4 linked regions of the Drosophila melanogaster genome follow. The gene in region 4 interacts genetically with the main gene of each other region. Each region holds a gene or a part of one and is shown on either strand. Other genes may lie near its edges. The genes, in order: Egfr, Pvf1, bsk and Pvr.

Evidence for each region.
Region 1: of Pvr (region 4) and Egfr, changing one enhances a phenotype caused by changing the other (phenotypic enhancement), as found in Drosophila melanogaster (4 studies listed by BioGRID).
Region 2: of Pvr (region 4) and Pvf1, changing one enhances a phenotype caused by changing the other (phenotypic enhancement), as found in Drosophila melanogaster (3 studies listed by BioGRID).
Region 3: of Pvr (region 4) and bsk, changing one enhances a phenotype caused by changing the other (phenotypic enhancement), as found in Drosophila melanogaster (2 studies listed by BioGRID).

Annotation. Positions count from the first base shown.
Region 1 is NT_033778.4:21,544,673-21,549,688, forward strand, and holds the start of Egfr (epidermal growth factor receptor), read left to right. Parts: upstream 1-1,970; 5' UTR 1,971-2,918; coding exon 2,919-3,219; intron 3,220-5,016. UniProt on the Drosophila melanogaster protein: Receptor tyrosine kinase, binding ligands of the EGF family and activating several signaling cascades to convert extracellular cues into appropriate cellular responses. Known ligands include spitz, gurken, vein and giant-lens.
Region 2 is NC_004354.4:18,830,874-18,835,726, reverse strand, and holds the start of Pvf1 (PDGF- and VEGF-related factor 1), read right to left. Parts: upstream 3,046-4,853; 5' UTR 2,781-3,045; intron 1-2,780. Other genes in the region: CG7101 (uncharacterized protein), read right to left, coding at 3,927-4,504, 4,584-4,853.
Region 3 is NT_033779.5:10,246,952-10,252,453, forward strand, and holds bsk (basket), read right to left. Parts: upstream 3,551-5,502; 5' UTR 3,330-3,550; intron 2,792-3,329; exon of another isoform or gene 2,309-2,791; 5' UTR 2,260-2,308; coding exon 2,144-2,259; intron 1,964-2,143; coding exon 1,834-1,963; intron 1,772-1,833; coding exon 1,574-1,771; intron 1,511-1,573; coding exon 1,246-1,510; intron 1,185-1,245; coding exon 901-1,184; intron 823-900; coding exon 697-822; 3' UTR 551-696; downstream 1-550. Other genes in the region: CG31717 (uncharacterized protein), read left to right, coding at 3,868-3,876, 3,945-4,550; Ror, read left to right, coding at 5,016-5,113, 5,324-5,476. UniProt on the Drosophila melanogaster protein: Mitogen-activated protein kinase and key component of the c-Jun N-terminal kinase (JNK) pathway which phosphorylate and activate transcription factors involved in a wide range of biological processes including response to various stresses, cellular proliferation, differentiation and migration, and regulation of cell shape.
Region 4 is NT_033779.5:8,236,855-8,241,432, reverse strand, and holds the start of Pvr (PDGF- and VEGF-receptor related), read left to right. Parts: upstream 1-1,554; 5' UTR 1,555-1,741; exon of another isoform or gene 1,742-2,514; intron 2,515-4,578. Other genes in the region: Spn28F (serpin 28F), read left to right, coding at 1-578, 638-776, 832-968.

The sequences.
Region 1 (5,016 bases), on a different chromosome or scaffold from region 4:
ATGGAGTGCTGCACTGGAGTGGGGGAGTTAAAAAACATTTCTCTTCGCATGGCATTTTGTACGCTTGATCAAATGTTTATGAGTGTGGGTCGGGGCATCTTGGAATCTCAGAATCTCGGCATCTTACACCTCTCGAGCGGCGTTTACCTGTGGTTCGTACTGGCGGAGTTGGTGGAGTGCCCTGAAGTGGTTTCAGAGTTCTGAGTTCTAAGATCGTTCTCAACTCGATGTTCGGCTGTCAGTTGCATGCTCTTCGATTTTGACAGATGATTCCGTACGGTTTGGGCAGTGTACCTTTTGATTGAGGTCTTCTGGCTTGGGACAGACGGCTATTAATATGTTTGATTATGGCTGCAGACCGGAGCATGGCGCTTTTACCCCATCGTGGAAATCTGTGGAAATGCTTTTCAATTTAAATGTATTTTCATGCTCTGAAACAAAGCGCCGAGCAAGACAATGCAACGCCTCTCGAGAGTCACAGCGTGGGATTCGAGATTCAAATGTGGACCGAGGAGTTAGTTGCGCTTTTCCAAGTGCACCTTTTGTATTTCTGTTATGGCAAAGTGAAAAAGGTCAAAACGCTTCGGATTTACCTGCCGAAACAGTGTCCTTTTGGCCCGATCCCGCAGAGCACATGGCGCAGGCGTAAAAACCCCGATTTCTTGTGGGCTGGGAACAGGTGAAGAAGAGGCCAACGAGATCTCGGTCTTGGATCTGCCCTAACAATGTTGACAACGCTCGTACAAAAATCTTTTTGCCAAAAGACAATCCATGGCCCACGCAGGCTCGGCTCACAGACACAGATGCAGATGCGGGCACAGTTACACACACAAACACACACAGATACAGATACAATTGCCGAGATCTTTTGTGCTTATATGGCAGCATTGCCCACACATACCCATGTATATACAGCCAGGTGAGAGAGCGGCGATCGCTTTACCTGAACGCTCTCAAATTCGCCGCAACAACAGAACCTCCAACAACAACAACAACAACAGCAGCAGTGTCAAGAAATTGGGATATACACAAGATCTTACCTGGGAACGACCTGCAATCGATGCGAATCTTAAATGCCCTGCACAGCTGTCGGAGTTAAGATGCTGTCGGATAATCCCCGCATTGGTTTTTTTGCTCTTGTCTTTGCTATTGGGCATTTTGGGGGGAGGGGAAAATCAGGACATTGTTGCTCAAGTACTTTCCTTTGTTGGAAAACTCGTCTCTGCAGTTGAAAAGGCTATTTATGGCGCCTTCTTAATCCTACCTAAACTTTGCTATCTTAAAACTGAGGTTGTTGCGTATAAATGCTTCTTAACTTTTTTAACATAAATCCCGTGTGTATATTATTTATACACGCCCTGTATATCGAGCAACATATTTTGTGCAAAAAGATTGTCCTTCTTTGGTATCCACTCTTCAAGCTTGGGATACTTAACCGCTCTGAGCCATGTACTCTATGTTAAGATTGTTAGTTGAAGTTATGTTCTGCGAACTTAAGATCTCTAGTTGGTGTTTCCGTTCATTTGAGATGGCGCTAAATTCGATTCTGTGCATTAGGGCCAACGTTTAGCATTTTCCCATGATATGTAGAGCATTTGCTGGTCTGGGGGAAGATTGCCCAATGTATCTGGCCGTATCGTTTCGTATTACGCTGACTTTTTAAAATGCTGCTGCTACGTTTACGATTACCTGTGGATTGTGGATGGAGATGGTCCGCTGGCGGTGCGAGTGGGAACGCTGCACTGAGCGAGCGAGAGGTGGCGACAGCGGTGCGCAGCTGTGCCGTAGTTGTTGCTGTATCGCTGGCTTTGCTTTTATTTTGACCTGATCTGAGCTCGAGATTTCGCCGTTCACCTTTATTTTTACCTGTGCGCGCTCTTTTCGCCGCAATCGAGAGTAAGAAACACGGCGAGAGAGTGAGAGAGAGAGACAGAGAGGGAGCAGCGCCTTTTGGCTGCGGCTTTGGCCTCAGTCTCGAATACAACTTGTTGCTGCGCGGACGCGAATCGCTCAGTACGGACGTCTTGAGCTCGAATCCTCGGCCATATCTGTGCTCTCGATCGCAGCGTTTGCTAATTCGAAGATCGTGCTAATCGAAGTACCGAGAAATCACAGTTCGCAAAACGACCAAAACCAAAGCCAAAAACGGGGTGTAAGCCAAGTGCCTTTGGCCTATACTATACTACTAAGCGTATTTTTGTGAATACCCTGCTAATTGGCAGCCGCGGCTGTGGCGGTTGTGGCTCAGTTCGAATGATGGCCAAGTGTGTGTGTTTTGTGCAAGTTAACCGCTGCGGGGGCAACACAACAATTGCTTAGGGCAATCAATTAAAGCTGAAAGCTAAGAGCTGCGCCTGCGCACGCCTCTCTAACCTCAAAAATCGTTGGCGAACTCAAAAAAGAAGCTGAAAAATACATCTGAAAAATAACAAAAATTTTATTTTTTACATACACTCATATATATATATATATATATATGAAAGCCTTCGGACGACTCTTGTGGCTCGTAATGTGAAACTGGTTCCTACACTCACGCACACACTCACTCACTGGCGCGTTCAAAAGACCCACTCGAAAACACACACTCACTCTCACGCGCATACACAGTGAAATGTAAACACCAATACAGTGGCAAATTGCAACGACAACAGCTTAAATTCAAAACAACAACAACAACAACAGCAACCGCAGCAAACGCAGTGAAAGAGTCGAAATCAAATTTATGAAAAGCTGTATTTTTGGCACGCAAAGCTGAGTGAGCAAAAAGCCGAAAGTAAACCGCAAGTTCAAGAAAAAGAAACGAATAAAAAATAACCCCTATGACGTCAGGGGTTATAGCTTGGAAGAGGGCTTGATTCATCCCACCAGTAACGCCCACAAAAAGCACCAACCACCAAACCACCCACCGCCCCGCAACAATGCTGCTGCGACGGCGCAACGGCCCCTGCCCCTTCCCCCTGCTGCTCCTGCTCCTGGCCCACTGCATTTGCATTTGGCCCGCGTCGGCGGCCCGCGATCGCTACGCCCGCCAGAACAATCGCCAGCGCCATCAGGATATAGATCGCGATCGGGATCGAGATCGATTCCTATACCGCAGCAGTTCGGCCCAAAATCGACAGAGGGGCGGGGCCAACTTCGCCCTGGGACTGGGAGCCAACGGAGTCACCATTCCCACCAGTCTGGAGGATAAGAACAAGAACGAGTTCGTCAAGGGGAAAAGTAAGTGCACCGCAAGGATCTATCCATCTTCCTCAAGCCGCCCATCATCTATCAAAATGTGTTTATGTAGATCATCTGGCTGACTGACTGGCTGCCCATATATCAAAAGAGCCAAGTCGTCCCGAATTTGGCCACCGTATCAGTTGGTCTCTAGAGTTTCCACCGTTTTCAGGTGTTTTTTTTTTTATTGTAGTTTCGTGCCAGCGATATGCTGTCGTTTATCTTATCGCTGTGATGTTTTTTTTTTATTTTTCCCCTGTACTGCACTTTAAATATAGCTTCGTTTTCGGCTGCATTTCGTATTATTTGGTCTTATCGTTACCCTGGGAATATCAATTATCGAGGGGTAGCTGCAAAGTGTGCAATATTACAAATATTTTACTAAGCTCATAGATTAAAAAACACTTGCAATAGTGTGTGAATTCGTAGTATTTTAAGTAATATAAGCTTACTTAACATTTATGTGTCTGGAATATGGACTTTGAATGATATTTCCCAATATCACGTATACGCCAGGGTATCCCCTAGTCCAGAGTGAATGCTCCCTCCATTTAATACCTGCCCTTCGCGACGGTCTCACCTGCCCTGTGGCTCACCTCTTGACTTGGCGCTGGCTTAGTCAAAGAGTCTTGTGTGCACTATCGCCCCTGTTTCGAGTTACCCCCACACCTAGCCATCAGATATCACGGCAAACATACCAGAATACCAGAACGCACTGATTAGCCAAGCACTGAGCACTGTGCTGTGCATTTCGTAATGTCAAATGTACAAGGTAAAGCGTAGTAGTTAGTTAGTGTTAAGACCGCCCGATTTTTCCACTCTGCCACTTTTCCCGCCGTCTGCGTGCCCTTTTCTGTGCATCAGCAGCAATTGCAATTGCAACAGCAAAAGCAACAGTAAGAGCAATAGGGCAACTGCAACTAGCGACACAATTTCCAGCTAAAATGGCGACTCAATTTGTTGACTCTGCAGTTCTCGAGGTTTTCTTTGTGGGCTCTTTGTTTCTTACCCGTTGGAAAATAAATTAATACACAAAATTTGGTATTCGCATATTGGAAGTTTTGGCTGCTTGGCTGGCTGGCTGTATGTTTGGGTAACCATTTGGCCACAATTTAATGAACTCCATGGCGTATCTGGCGGTGTCTGTTTGCACAGTACTTTGAGGCAAATGTTTGTATTCGGCGGGCAAACAGAAAAGTAAAAATTAAATGGGAGGCGAATAAAAGCGGGCCGTCGATACCAAGTACTCAGTGATCTTGTAGCTGCAAATTAATAACTGAATGTGCGCATTGTGCGCCAGCAACTGTGCAAATATTGATAGGAAAACGAAAACTTTGGCTACGCAGTCTATGCTAATGGGAGACGGGAGACCACCACCGCATAGCCGGATATGTGGATGTGGTATGTATGTATGTATGTATGGCTAGATAAGCGAGTTATGAAACCGATAAAGATGCCAGAACCTTAAAAAGCGATATTACCCTTTTTTTTCGCACAGACGATCGCTGCTGTCACAATGCCCTTTTCGCAGAAATTGTTCGAGTTATTTGCTCTGGCTTACTGTTTCGCTGTTTTCTTTATGACCATAAAAATAAGCACAGCTGCGGCATGTATGCAAATAAATGCTAGAGAAAAGCCTGCACGTGCATTCGAATCGAAACCGTTAAAAAAATCGTTGGGGGTAGGAAACTCGAACAACTGGCAATTGTTGTTGACGTCTTTATAGTTCAAAACGCTACACTCGCTGGCAAAAAATCACCTTTTAATTGTTCATTCAGGCAAAATTGTAGTAAAATC
Region 2 (4,853 bases), on a different chromosome or scaffold from region 4:
GCGGACAAAGCGTTTTAAAGTGATCCTGGTTTCGTGCAGTGTATGAGGGCAAGACGAAGAAAAGCAAAGTGAGAAGTGGTGCAAAAAACAACACAGGAAAGGAGATAGCAGAATGGGTAAGAGGGGTGTGGAAAGGGGTGGGGAAGGAGAGCAAGATCGGATGGTGTTAAAAATAGCTTTAAGCTCGCCTTGTAACGGTACTCCTCGGGAGTTTCAATTTGTGTGTATGTTTCTGCACTTGCGTTTTAGGTGCAATGGGTGCACAAGTGTTTATTTGTGGGCTGCAATCAACACACACACACGCACACGGAATTCAGCTATCATTGTTTTCCTTTCTGTTTTCCTTACATTTCTTGGCTCTTTTTAACAGTTAAGCAAATACCGATTGATATGACAGACCAAACGTTGTTATTCTTTTCATCGCTCTCCCTCCCTCTCTCTTTCTCTGTTGCCAGGTGTCACGCACACCTGTGTGATTCATCTTGACATTCCTCTGTGCCGTCTTGTTGTTGTTGCTCTGTTTTTATTTTTTTTTTTGGCGGCTGCTGCACAAGCTTTGTGTGGAGTAACAGCTGTTAGCTTAACAGTTTCGGAATAATTTTCAATTGGAATTAAAAAGATATCAAGTAATTTACTAATCTATCTGCAAAGAATTTCAATAGATCTTACAAACTGAAAACAAGATTCAAAATATAATGCAGATTCTTAAAACCTCTATAGGATGTTCGTTCGACGGGTGGGCCGCTGGTGATTGCACAACCTGTCACATCGAAGGTCTCTTTAACCCGATTCAACGGTTAACTTGTGCGTCTAGTCAGTTATCAGTTATCAGTTGTTGTTGTTTTTGTTGTTGTTGCTACTGAGGCATTTCGTCAGCGCAGATATTACAGATCGACCACAGGGAGACGGATAGATGGGAGTAGTGGTAAGGGGGAAAGGCAGATTACAAAATTAAGCACGTTTTTAAATTATATATATGAATGCGAATATGTACTTATTGCGAAAGCGACAGGCTTTTGTTACTCCTCATACTGATTGCTTTTAGTACCCTGTACTAAAAAAAGGTATGCTAACTTTGGCGAAATCTGATCAGCATTTAGTTTCAAAAAACGCAATCAAGCCACTGTTTACAAGCTTTCTTTAGGAATATTAAACTTATAAGGCTATCATATGCATATATCCATGCCTCAGGTATCATATAGTCGATAGACGATACCCATATGATCTGTATTTAGTTTGCGCAGGTGTCAGCTGTATTTATTCTCACACTTTCGAGGCATTCCTTCCCGGTGCGTCACCCGAAGATATCAAATCATATCAAGTAATCTCAAGGAGGAGAAGGCGAGGAACCAAAAGGAATCATCTCGGAATCGCGATCCCCACTTGGGCGGTCCTTAATTACGCGAAGGGAGTGCCTCCCGCCAGGCAATTGCTCCCCGCACAAGAATTCCAATACAAAAGGAAGACTCAAGCGTTAATGATAAGACCGCGGGCGCGGCGCGGGCGGAGGCGTGGCAGATCAGGGAACAGGCCCATAGCTTGTCTTCCCGTCTGGTCATTCGCTCAGGCAAATCAATTACAATATAGACATGATAATAACTCCACTGCATCCATGGGCCCATGTAGACGGGGGAGCAGTAGAGCAAACAACAAACAAGAAAACACAAAACTTGGACCAACAGGAGGGCAATGGGCAATGGACAATGGGCAGTGGGTTCTACAAGCTCTACAAGATAAATTATGGATTTGCTCCCAAAGGGCTCCCAAAGGGATCGGGTCAACGGCGACGTCTGGAATGCGAGTCTAAGATTAACCGATTTCAACTTTTGGAAGGCGGAAATATGAACAAGTTTTTAAAAAACTAGGGCATATCTAAAATAATTGTTTTCTTTTTTAAGTTTAGTGAAGGTGTCACTTGCTCAAGGTATAGTTTCCTTTCTAGGATATCAAAGTTCTCCAGTTGTTTCATACAATATACGTTATAATTAGAAACGTTTACTATAATATTTTAATATTCATCACATAATATATAATGTGTGACTTTTGTGAGCAAACATTATCATTAAACGTGTTTTCTTTTAATGAAAACCCGCAAATGTGCATTTCAAAATAAATTATTTCTTAAAAATGGCATTTTTGTTCTAAAATGTTATAAATTAAAAAAAAAAAAAAAAAAACAGGAACTTTGAACACATTGCCAGCATTAGTTTATTGAACTTTATTGACGATTTATCCGCAATAACTCGATCATAAACAACTTGATATATTGCAGTTTAAGGCAGCGACTACATTTAAGCCAAGTTCACTTTCATTTGTGATTCACAAATCTTATATTCGCACGCGATTTGACGTAGTTTGATTTGAATAACGATTAAGCCCGGCTTAGACTTTGTTTTTAGGAATTCAAGCGCAACATTTTCACTGGGTTTTCCACACAGCCACTGGAATAACTCAACAGCCAGATCAAAAAACGTTAATTGCAATTGTACTTTTTTGTTTTGTTTGGTTTTTTTTTTTTTTGCATTTGTTAATGATAAAATGGTGTTCTGGTTTTGCTCGAAAGCTATTGGGGAAAAAAAACATATATATAACAAAAGGCTGTGCGCTGTGGAGAGCTTTTTAAAAGGCCCGGCTTTAGTGGGGCAGAAGTGGAAAACCATATAAACAATAACAAAAAGCAGTTTCAGTTTAAATGTTAGATGTAGTCGAGGGTCGCTGGCTTGTTTGTTTACGCTGCTGATTTGTGTTGAAATGTTGAAATTTTGAGAAGCACCACTTACTTTATGGAAACACGGCTTGAAAATTCTAAATATTATGTTTTACACGAAGTTCAATGGCACAAATCGGTTAGCACGAAACGAAAAACAAACAACAAAAAATATGTGTGCACAAATGGGGGGTTTTGTATTTAATAATTTGTGATATATATTTGAGCGCGTTTAAGTTTGTGGTGTTAGCCTCGCGGAGATCGGCGGAGCTGCGATCCAAGCACCAGCAAGTTCCGTTCAAAACTGTCGACTCGTCGGTGTGGGCCAAGTTACTGCGCCCCTATCACCACAGTCGCCAATAACAATAGCAGTAGCAGTAACTGTTGCAGTAACAGTAACAGTACCCAGCTGTCGCAGCATTGCGCTCTCCGCTCTGTACCGCAACACTCACATCCAATCCGAACCGAACCGCTCCGCTCATTACTCTCCCGATCTTGGGGCCTGGAGCGGAGCGGATGGGTTTCACTGTTAACAGTTAACGCTGGGAGAGCGCGATCTCGACTTACGCACACCCTCGCTCAGGAGGCTCGCTGAGATTTTAAATTTAAATATATATAGAGCAACATGAACAATACATATGTTACATTCTATTATCTGTCTATTGGTGGAAATGGAGTATATTATCTGATTAATCAGTGTTGTGGTGATGATAAATATTACTCATAAAGCTGCACTATTTCATCGTTATTTTCAAAGTATTCATTTTAGTGTGACATTTTACATTATGTTAACACTACGCAGCAATAATCTGTAAACTTTCTTTAGGCAATCTTTCATTCTTTCAAACTTTCCTTAGAAAATATTTCAATTGTGCCCGTTTCTATTAACCTGACTTCATGTATTGATATTTTTTTATTCATATAAGTACATTGTCTTTCAGCCATCTGCTTGCTATATTAAAGTAACTATTCGCTTATGTCTATAGTTCCTAAGATGTAAATGTAAATCGTCTCATAAGCATTAATTTTACAGCAAAAAATAAAATACGATTTTAAATTCAAGTTCGTTTGGAAAAACATTTCCGATGACTAGGATATAAATTCAAAATATTAACGCTATTAAAACGTTACATTTATCCATTGCTTAAGTATATATTAATCGTAGTTCTGGACGTGAGATGTCGCTCAGGTATCTACGATTCCGGCTAGGTTGACTGCCCTACGGATGTTCCTCACACACATGCCGTTCGAGATCGATGGCCCGGAAGAAGGGCCGCACGCAGAATTCACAGGTGTAAGTGCCGTGTCCATGGCCGCGATCCGTCTTTATGTGATCGGTGAGGTGGCACCGCTGGGTGAATCTCTTTCCGCACGTGGGACACAGATGCGGTCGGTGGTCCAGGTGCAGACTGTTAACGTGCTTCTTTAGGTGATCAGCAGTGGCGAAGTCCGCCTGGCAAATACCGCACACATGACCGCGCAAGAGGATGTGAACACGTTGCAGATGGGACCGCAGGGCTTCTCGGCTGCCATGGCTCTTGCCACAGTAGCAGCAGTCCAGGGCACTGCGTTCGTGAACCTGCTCCAGGTGCCGCACCAGGCTCAGACTGCCGGGGAATCCGTTGGCGCAGAAGGGACACACGAAAACGCTCGGCTTAGCGTTCACAATGCACGACTCCTTGTCCAGGTCGGTGGGCCAGCCAAAGGTGAGATCGTCGTCCCAGTCGATGCTGGGCAGTATGTTCTCAATGTTCTCCTCTAGCATCTCAAGATCCTCCATTTCATCAACCTGGCTGTCTGCAGGGATCGGATTGAATAGTATTATTAAGCAGGGTATGCCATTAACATCACAACTACTCGTAAGCAGAATACCTACCTGCATCACTGGCCGTGGACTTCAGGGTACGCAGGCGATGCACCTCCTCGGCGTGCTCCTGCAGCTCCAGCATCCCGCTAAAGGTCTTAACGTCGTTGCAGTTGTCCGTGCACATGTCGCAGTAGAACAGCGACTGCTGGCCGTGCCAACTGGCAACATGACGGTAAAGAAACGTGGCTGACGCGTACTTCTTGCCGCACTGCAGGCACAGGAACTGGCCATCGTTGTGCTTTCGCTCCCGATGCCGCTCCAGCCGGGCCTCCTCGCCGA
Region 3 (5,502 bases), 2.0 Mb from region 4:
AGTTATCCGCGCGATACATTTAGCATTTGTATTATTATTGTTCACCAACGCAATTCTTTATTATCAAACCCACATTTATTCGCGATGACACTTTGCTGTTATCGTTATCGCAGCATAGGAATAACAGTACGAAGTTGCCATCCCGATCTCTACACCGGTGAGAGTTGCCAGCCCGATTTACACGCCGGCTTATTCGATACTAATTGAGTTATCGAATGACCGTTTGTTTCGTTTAAATTTAGTATAACAGTTTTTTATTTAATCATCATTTTAAATTTTTTGTATTTTAGAAATGTTTTTATCGGTAACTAAATTATCTACTTTCCATATTCTTGTATGAAACAAAATTTTAAAAGTATGTATCGACTTTATATACCGAAATAATTTATATGGTTAAACTTTTCCATTTAAATTTTATGAATTTATACAAAGATTAAAATGTAATTAGCTCCTGAAATCAGGACAATGAAATGATTAAACTGGTATTTTAACGATTTAACTTAAGAAAGCGGGCTCAAAAAACAAGGATGAGTAAGAAATTACAAAGTTTCGCATATTGATTTTATTTTTTAATGGTTACTATATTTTTAAATACAATTTGAATATTTTATTTGTTGTAATAATTTAACAATACACGCCGTATTGTTGGTAAGCTTTAGTTTTCTTGTGACTGACTAAGGAGGAAAAAGTCGTTCTCTACCGCGTTCTATTATTTGTATTGTGTGCTTCGTAGTCCATGACTTCCTCATAGATTAGCTCCTTCCACTGCTCCACAGTGTGTTCCCTTTCGTCCACGCTGTGATCATATGGCTCCGGAGCGGGCTGCAAGAGATGCATGCAATTAAGCGATTAAAAACATTCAACATTCCTAGAAATCCAGTTTATGCCAGAATCACTTACAGCATCCACTTCCTCAGCATCATACCACACGTTGATATATTCATGCTTCAAAGCCTCGTCCACAGATATCCGCTGCTCTGGATCAATGACTAGCATTTTACTAAGAAGATTTCTAGCGTCAGAAGCCTTCCGGCGGCTATTCTGATTATTATCATTTGGAAACAAGCCATCGGGGAAAAGTCTATCAAATGAGTATCCAGTGTATCTAGGACGATTTTCCACATAGTTTCGGACGGTTGGCTGTAACCGTTGCATAAACGAGGGTGATGGTGTACCTAATTGCTCTGAAAAAACGTAAAAGTTGACAATCATAACGAGAATCAAGTTATTTAAGCAGCAACATACCAATAATTTTATTCCACTGATCTATATGATCCGTTCCAGGAAACAGCACACCGCCCCGTATCATTTCGCCCATAATGCAACCGACGGACCATATGTCCACGTTCTCTGTGTATCCCATGCCCAAAATGACCTCTGGAGCCCTGTAATATCGGGTGACCACATAGGGAGTCATCATAAAGGTAGTTCCTGCAGTACGTGCCAGACCGAAATCCAAAATTTTTAGAGTGCAGTCGGCCTTTACAACTATATTGGATGGCTTTAAGTCCTGCAAATGAAGTATTTCATATATTTCATACTCATTTTAAAGATGTATTCATACTGTACGTACTCTGTGAATAATTCCTGCTGAGTGTAAATGTTTTATTCCGCACAACATTTGATAAAGCAAATAGGACATTCTGTCGTGATCCAAGTCCATTTGGATGACCTGGCAGAGATTAGCGTCCATCAGCTCCATGACCAGGTAGACATCCTGAAACTCTTCCAAGTTCCTTTGCGGCGTAAAAGCATTAAGTAAGCCAATTATCTACGGATTAAATACCTATGTTTAGTAGAAATTTGTTAAAGTTAAAGGTGCAAGTTTCATACGTTTTTATGGTTAACAAGCTTCATTAGCTTGAATTCCCTATATGCTCGCTTGGCATGGGTTACATTTTGGAATGGTCGAGATAGTTTCTTAATCGCCACATTTTGCTGGGTGATAGTATCGTAAGCGGCGCTGAAATGCATTAAATTTGTTATTTTTTTTTTTCATATTCCAGCTAATCCCATCTAATCTAATCTAATATACAATGGAGCGTTACAAATATGACTTCATACTCATGCGAAATATCTTAATTGTTTAAGCCAAAAAATTGTTAAATGTATTATATGTAATAACATATTGATAACCACTTACCATACTATTCCTTGGGCACCTGATCCTATGGGCCGTAGATTAATGTACCGACTGTGGATGGTGAAGTTGGTGTCCCCCACCTCGACGGTGTAGTGTTGGTGCTGAGCTGTCGTCATTGTTCACTGATTTTATTTATTACTAGTTGAGAGCAAGGAGCATATCGGCCTTTTCAAGAGGGTAAATAAGATAAATCAATACGGTTTTACAGTGTGATTCTGTTTTATATAAGGAGCAAAGACGTCCGTATGTATGGCTCCATTCTGAATGGGTGGAGGCAGTTTTCAGACAACTTCGTCTGGAATTAGGGGGTAGGAAAACATTAACTTTGCCTGGCCTTATTTCGGCAGAATGTTATGGCCATTAAGTGGGTCTCTGTTGTCGCGAGGGGTGAAATTTACTGGCTAGTGTGTGGCGAGTTTGTTGCCAAACCACGAGCAAAAAATATCGAGTTCCTTCAAAAAGATACAATTGCATAACGCAGTCACTTATTTGAGCCGACTTCGAATGCCGAACCCCCTTTTCTATTGATAAGCATTTAAATGTTTGCCGAACACATGTCGAATATGGTTGGAAAAACACCCAACAGAAATAACCGAGCGTTTCGTTCTTTGAGCAAAGTGTTTAGCGGCACGCACAGGAAAAAAAACCGATTTAAAATCGATATGTCCGGCTTAAACATAAAAGTACGGAATGTTGGACCACAGCGATGTACATAGCGTTCATGTGTATGCATGCCGTTGCCTGTGTAAATATGTACATACACACGATTTGTATGCGGATGAAAACTGTAAACTTCTACTGGTATACATATGTGTAAGATGTAAGCCACATACATACATATGCACATACAGCCACACAAATGTGGGTCGATAATTTAGTAACTTTTCAAACTATCTCTCAGATAAAAGATATTCCCCGTATTCGTACATCGAAAAAGCGCTCGTTTGCGCTGCAGATAATAAAGCGGTCTACGCTTCGGGTAGTGTCGATATGTAAACGTTAGACATTTGCGCATACATAGGTACATACACTCTTTGGGCAGTTGACATTTTATGTTAAATATCAATAATTTTTTTCATAACCGGCACAACTATAATTGCTTTCAATCGATTATGGCACGTTTTGCAGGAGTGTTTCGGTGATTCGATATTTGATGTGAATGGAACGTAATAGAATATTTATTTACCATTTAACGAAGAAGTACAGAATTTCTTGTGAAAATATAAAATCGATTTTTTTTCTATTTTATTCTACACACTGGGCACTCAAAGTGGCGAGCATTTTAAACTATGTTAATGTTATTGAAATTTAAGAATCAACTATCTGCGGCACTTTCGCATGAGAATAATTGTACATGGATACAATACAATATACGAAAATCTATTGGAATATTCGATCACAACAAAGTTACTTAAATCGATGTGACCAGATTGCAGTAGGACCAAAACCAGAAACGGCTAAAGTCAGCCAATCGACTTTTGATTAAAATTAGGTTTAATTAGGGGTTTAAAACCTAATAAGTGTTAATAACTTACAAATAAACATATACAAATGCAATTTATTTAATAAAGACCAAAAACTAAGTTGGCGCAGTGTTTCATTTCACCGTTCCGGTCATTAGATATTCCTTTGCTCGACTTATCGAGTATACATCGAATGACGAATGAGAAATACTGTCATCACTAACAATAAATAAAAACAAAAGAGTTGAAATACACAGCGATATGAGGACGGTTGGTTTTTGGCCACTGATGAATCACATAAGCTGATAAGTGCTAATTTTAAAATCTTGTCCTTGCAGTCATCACCAGCACTTAAATACCTATTGGAGAAGGATGTTCAGGTGTCGAAGCATTTTGTAGTAGCCGTCTCCAATCTGTCGTTCTTCAAATCCCTGCGGATCCACAGCAGATTTCTGGAGATATCATGCGATGGAATCGCCTGGTTTGTCTCATGGATCGCCTTCATCTGGTTGCTCAGCTCGAAGAGCTTGTATCAAATGCAAGTCAATATGCTCTTCGGCCTGATACTCGACGTAGTGATCGTGGCCGTGCTGAAGGCGCTTGTTCGTCGCAGGCGACCGGTGGCCAGCAAGGATATGCTGACCATTGGACCCGATAAGTTCAGCTTTCCCTCAGGTCATGCCTCCCGGGCGTTCTTTGTGCTGCTGTTCTTCGCCAAGCTGTATCCGCTTCACATCATATTCCTAATGCCGGTCACAGCTTGGGCTGTAAGCGTGGCCATCTCACGGCTCATCCTCCAGCGTCATTATATTTTGGATATCTGCGCCGGTGCTGCCATCGGAGTGTTGGAGGCACTAATCGTGGGACTTCTGTGGATCAGCGAGGAAACTGCATTTAGCATTGTGGGCTTTGTTACCGAGGAAACTGTCGACAGCATGGAGTAACGATAAGTTACGATTGGAACACCGAAAGCAATAGATAATCTCTAGATCATTATGATAAATGCTTTAACCAAATACATTGTTAATGTTAAATTCATATTATTGTGTATTTCGCATAATTTTTCTACCCTTATTTCACTGTGAAAAGGGAAAGTGTACTTTAAATGAGACTAAAGTCGTTATACAACCATCTTTAATAAAATAAATAAAGCTTTTGAAGATATTTGGATTATTAATTATAAGAAATTATAGTGTAATTCCTTTGTTCCGAGTCATAGCACTCCTAAATATATCGATTCATCGATAAGGAGTCAACAACCCCAACGACTTCGTCGGGGGATGAAATGTTGTATGCCACATAAAGTTTTCGCGAAAGGATAAATACAAAAATATTTTCGGAATCGTTGGCATGTCAATTGGACTATTGAAATAACAAAAGGCTTCATATTGTTAGCTAGATTAAGCAATATGAACAAATACTCGGCATTTATAGTCTGCATTTCGCTCGTGCTTTTATTTACAAAAAAGGATGTGGGGAGCCATAATGTGGACTCAAGAATATATGGGTAGGTATTTTCACTGAAAGTTTTCCCAAGTTTCCGCAACAATAATTAGCGAAATACTTTTGTGTGGAATTAATAATTAATGAAATCATGAGCTTAACATGTTTTATATATTTTTAAATTACTAAACATAGTGTATACTCGAATGCAGAAATCTTTAGACGCCCTTATCCTTTTAATCCTTAAAAATGCAATATATTATTTGCCCTGCAGTTTCCAGCAATCATCAGGTATTTGCCATATTTACAATGGCACCATTTGTCGCGATGTCTTGAGCAATGCCCATGTTTTCGTATCCCCCAATCTCACCATGAACGATTTGGAGGAGCGATTAAAGGCAGCTTATGGAGTAATCAAGGAATCCAAGTGAGTATGATAACTATTTCAACATT
Region 4 (4,578 bases):
CTCTCAGTTTGGCTAATCGCATATACGTGAACAAAAAGTTCCAGCTAGTACCGAGTTACAATCAGATGGTCAAGGATTCATTTATGGCTGAAGCGGAGGCAATCGACATTGTCGATCCCAATAAGGCTTCTTCAATTGTCAATAATTGGGTAGATAATCAGACGCGTGGTAAAATCAAAGACTTAGTTTCATCCAATGACATGTCGAAAATGGAATTGATCGTCTTAAATGCCATATACTTTAAAGGCCAGTGGGAGTACAAATTTAATCCCAAGTTAACGAAGAAGAGGAATTTCCGTGTTTCGGATCAAAAGAGTGTTCCTGTCGAGATGATGTCACTATTTCAATCATTTAGGGCCGCACATGATAGTGAACTGGGTGCCAAAATTATCGAGCTGCCCTACAGAAATTCAAGCCTGTCCATGCTAATTTTTCTACCGGACCAGGTCGATGGACTATCAGAGCTGGAGAAAAAGATTGTAGGATTCAAACCGAAACTTTCCAAAATGGATGTAACTTTAAGGCTTCCCAAGTTTAAAATCGAATTCTTCGCTCAACTAAACAAAGTTCTTGTGGCGGTGAGTATTCACAGATTATTCTTGATACACCCTTACAATTTATAGATATTCATCTATAGATGGGCATACAAGATGCGTTCGAAAAATCTGCTGACTTCAAAGATCTGGTCGAAAACAGTAACGTTCATGTGAAAAAAGTCATTCATAAGGCGTTCATCGAGGTTAATGAAGAAGGAGCTGAGGCAGCGGCTGCAACAGGTATGATATAATTTTATTATATATATATTTGTATAATATGTTTTATTTTTGCCAGCTTTACTTTTCGTGCGCTATAGTATGCCTATGCCGTCATCTCAAATGGTTTTTAATGCCGATCATCCTTTTGCCTATGTCATTCGCGATAGGGAAACCATTTATTTCCAGGGCCACTTTGTGAAACCGAATGAATAAAATGTACTATTTCTTATCAATAATAAATGGAAATTGTATTATACTTTATTGTAGAATAAAAGGATTTACCAGTTTCCTGAAAATATTTAATAGGTGGAAAGTAGTGAAAATGCTATAGTCGAGACCCTTATAAATCACAATCCCCTTACTCAGCTGACAAATCGTTAGAAATGCTTAAATGATACTAAATATTATTTAATAAAAGAAAACTTTATTTTAAGCACTTCGATCTAAAACTAAAACCGTTAGGAAATTTAGTACGCATGGCATCACTGGCCGCCACTGGCCAACTGGAACTGTTTTCAAGCGGTCTGGCATCGCCGCGAATAGCGTGATTGCGTTCAATTTTTAGCTCGTTATTTAGTACACTTCACCTTTCAAAATAATAATGAAATAATAATAAAAGGAAACTAAACGAGAGATAAACTCCCTAACGAAACAAGAAAATTCAAATGATGTTGACTAAAGATATAACAAAAATATTATTCTATCCGTTCTATTCTACATGCTGTAGATAACGCTCATCGATAGCAAAAAATAACAATCGAATCGGATACCTCGATAGTACCGTCGATAGTGCCCCAGCTCTAGTTAACGTTAACTTTTCGAGCTGTTCGGACGTCAAAGCGGAAGGAAATTTCGCGGGCTTTTGACTTGTGTTCGGTGCAAACTGTTCAAACTTTGCCGACGACGCAGTATTTATTGTCTTTCAAGAGCAACCGATACTGCTGAAGTGCCCCACGCAGAAAGTGTTAAGCACAGAAAACCACAACGTAAGCGTTAATTTTTGAAAGGCTCGAAGATACGTCCGATAATATAGATATAGAATCGTGTGGAAACGAAACCAAATCGTGTCGTATATAAGTATAAGTGAAGCATCAAAGGTGCTAAGCAAATGAATCCGCACTCAAAAGTTTAGATATCGATGTGAGCGAACCCCCACACCTTCGCAAAAGTAAAAAACAAACACAGATACGAATCGGAATTCGAATACAAGTGCAAACTCAGCCACAGGTGGTTGACAAGAGTTCTAAGTGATTGTCAATCGTAAGCTCGAAAATCGAAATCGAATTCGGCGCTCGTGATGTTGCTCAATTCGATGCAATTATACAAAAAAAAAACACCCAAAATAGTCATGGTCACTATGCTCCTATAGATGGTGTACATAATGAACTATTATCAGTGACCTTTTTCTAAGTGCGTGTGTGTGTGTGTGTGCTATTATCACTGCCTGGTATTATTCATTGATAAGTGCATATAAGTGTTGGGTCTACGAAAAGTGTGCGTGTGTCTATGGTGAATACGTCAGCGGCATTCCAAGTAATCAAGACTGCAAACATCCACCGGTGCCAGGTATTCAAATCGTGATTCATCGCCGATCGTGACTGTTGTACGTTCAAAAGTTGTTGTTGTATCTTCAATAGTTGTTGTTGTTGCCAAGCTGCTGCGATCAAACGGTAGACTGCGTAAGACTATGAAAATATGAATAACACTACGATGGATTTCGAATTTACTCATACTGCTTTTCCAGAAACACCCAAATAAAGTTGGTATATATACATATATATGTACATATATATATAGAAGAAAGGGTTCACCTTTCTTTTGTTTGCCTGGTCAACTGAATGTGTCTATAGCGACTTTCTTAAACCGGTTCCACGCCATCCGTTTCTTGACCAAACGAACTGTTGATACATTTTCCCCCAATACGTGACTCAGGATCGAGAAGTTCTGATCAAATCAGATGCCCATAATTCATTGCCTCCAATTGCACACTGTGCCCAATTTGTTTATTGAATACAGACCTCCTTCAGTTTGCCGACTGCTCCATTTATCTCTGGCCACTTCAAAAGGCTGCCCAGCCCAGGCTGTTGTTAATTGCCATCGTTCTCAATGTCCGGAAAATGTGGTACAAAACTGCTACGAATCGTCAAAGTTTGGAGTCATAAAAATGTCCGCGAATGGTGTTGATGAAATATTTATTGTAATTCCCCTGGCCAAATTCGCAATTCACCTGGCATCAAGCGTTGAACAACTGTTGTGATAAGCCAGAATAATCAATGGATACTAGTGGTTCTTGGAAAATGTGCACCCATCACATTGCTACTGGCCACTTGCACCTCTTTTTCACACCTACCCATTATGCACATGGCACATTAATCAGGTGGGGCTTATGGCCAAGTATCCACCAGATACGCACACCTGCCCCGCCCCCCGCAGTGGGTGTCAAATTAGAGATACTTTACTGTAGTTGATTGTGCTGAAGTAGAGAGCTCCATTACGAATAAATTACTTTGTATGCACTGGAAAAAATGAACAAAGTAGTTCTTTCGCATTAATAGAAACTAATTATAAATACACACAAAATATTTAAGCAGAACTCGCCGAAAATAGACTTCAAAATAATCAAAGAATGTGTGTGACAACGAATTTGTGTGCATTTCAAGCGATTGTAATATCTCTAGAGATATTTAGAATGCTGATATGTATTATTGCACAAGAGATCTTTTTAATCTCAAGAGGATTGCTTATGCACAGAAGATTGACTTCCTGTTGTAGATAAAAACACTAGAATTGAGTTTAGGTACATTTTGTACATCTGTAGAGAGAAAAATCATTTTGCGTTTCTCTAAGGCAGTTCGGATAAGCTGAAACATTTTTGAGAAACCCCTTAACTCTTTGGGCGAATTGGCTCATAAATTTCCATTTAAGATAATATCTGTTTAATTGAATTTGCCGGTTACCAATAAGCCATAAATAAAACCGATTCGTTGGACAATCTCGGCCAGCATTGAACACGTTTTCACACCACTTTGTTGGTTGGCTGGCTGGTTGGTTGGTTGGTTTGGCATTCTATGAATGGACACCTTCGCCTCTTTACATCCGCCGTGGTCTGAGTCAGAACGTAAATAATAAATAACAAATAATAAATTGACAGCGGACAACAAATGTTTTGGCCAGGCCATTGTAACTGTCTGCATGGAGAGGTGGAAATAACTTGGCCATAAATCTGCAAAAAAAAAGGCTAAGCAGGCAATTGGCTTTCACCTGAGCCCTAGACTAAAGCCCATTCATAAGCGCTGGAAACTTTAGACTAAAGCCCATTCGTTGGGAAAATTTTATCTGCCCCATAAACTGCACGTAATCAAGTGCACTTCGGAGAATCAGGGAAATAAGAAAATATATGTATATATATATATAAAAGCAATCTTATTTCCGTCGGGAATAAAATGGCAGAAGGCAGCCAGCCAGTCAAAACAAAAAATGCATTGAGTAAACAAATCGCATAAAATTGAGCCATGTTTTGAGGTCACGGCGAGGCACTAAATGGGCTATATACATTGGCCATATTTATTTATTAATCGGGCGAAACCCAAAACAAACAAATTAAACACTTGTCGGCTATTAAGTGAACGCATATAACATTTCTATTTATTCGCCAGCAGCTGGCCAACCAACCAACTTGTTGTCGCCACGCGTTGTAGTTGTATAATATGTGGGCAGAATGCCAACGATTCAATTTCACCGGCAATGGTCTTTCTATTATTTTTATTAAGTTCCCAGTTTATGGAAAAGAAAAGAAACAACTTTTCCAAATCTCTCGAGTGAC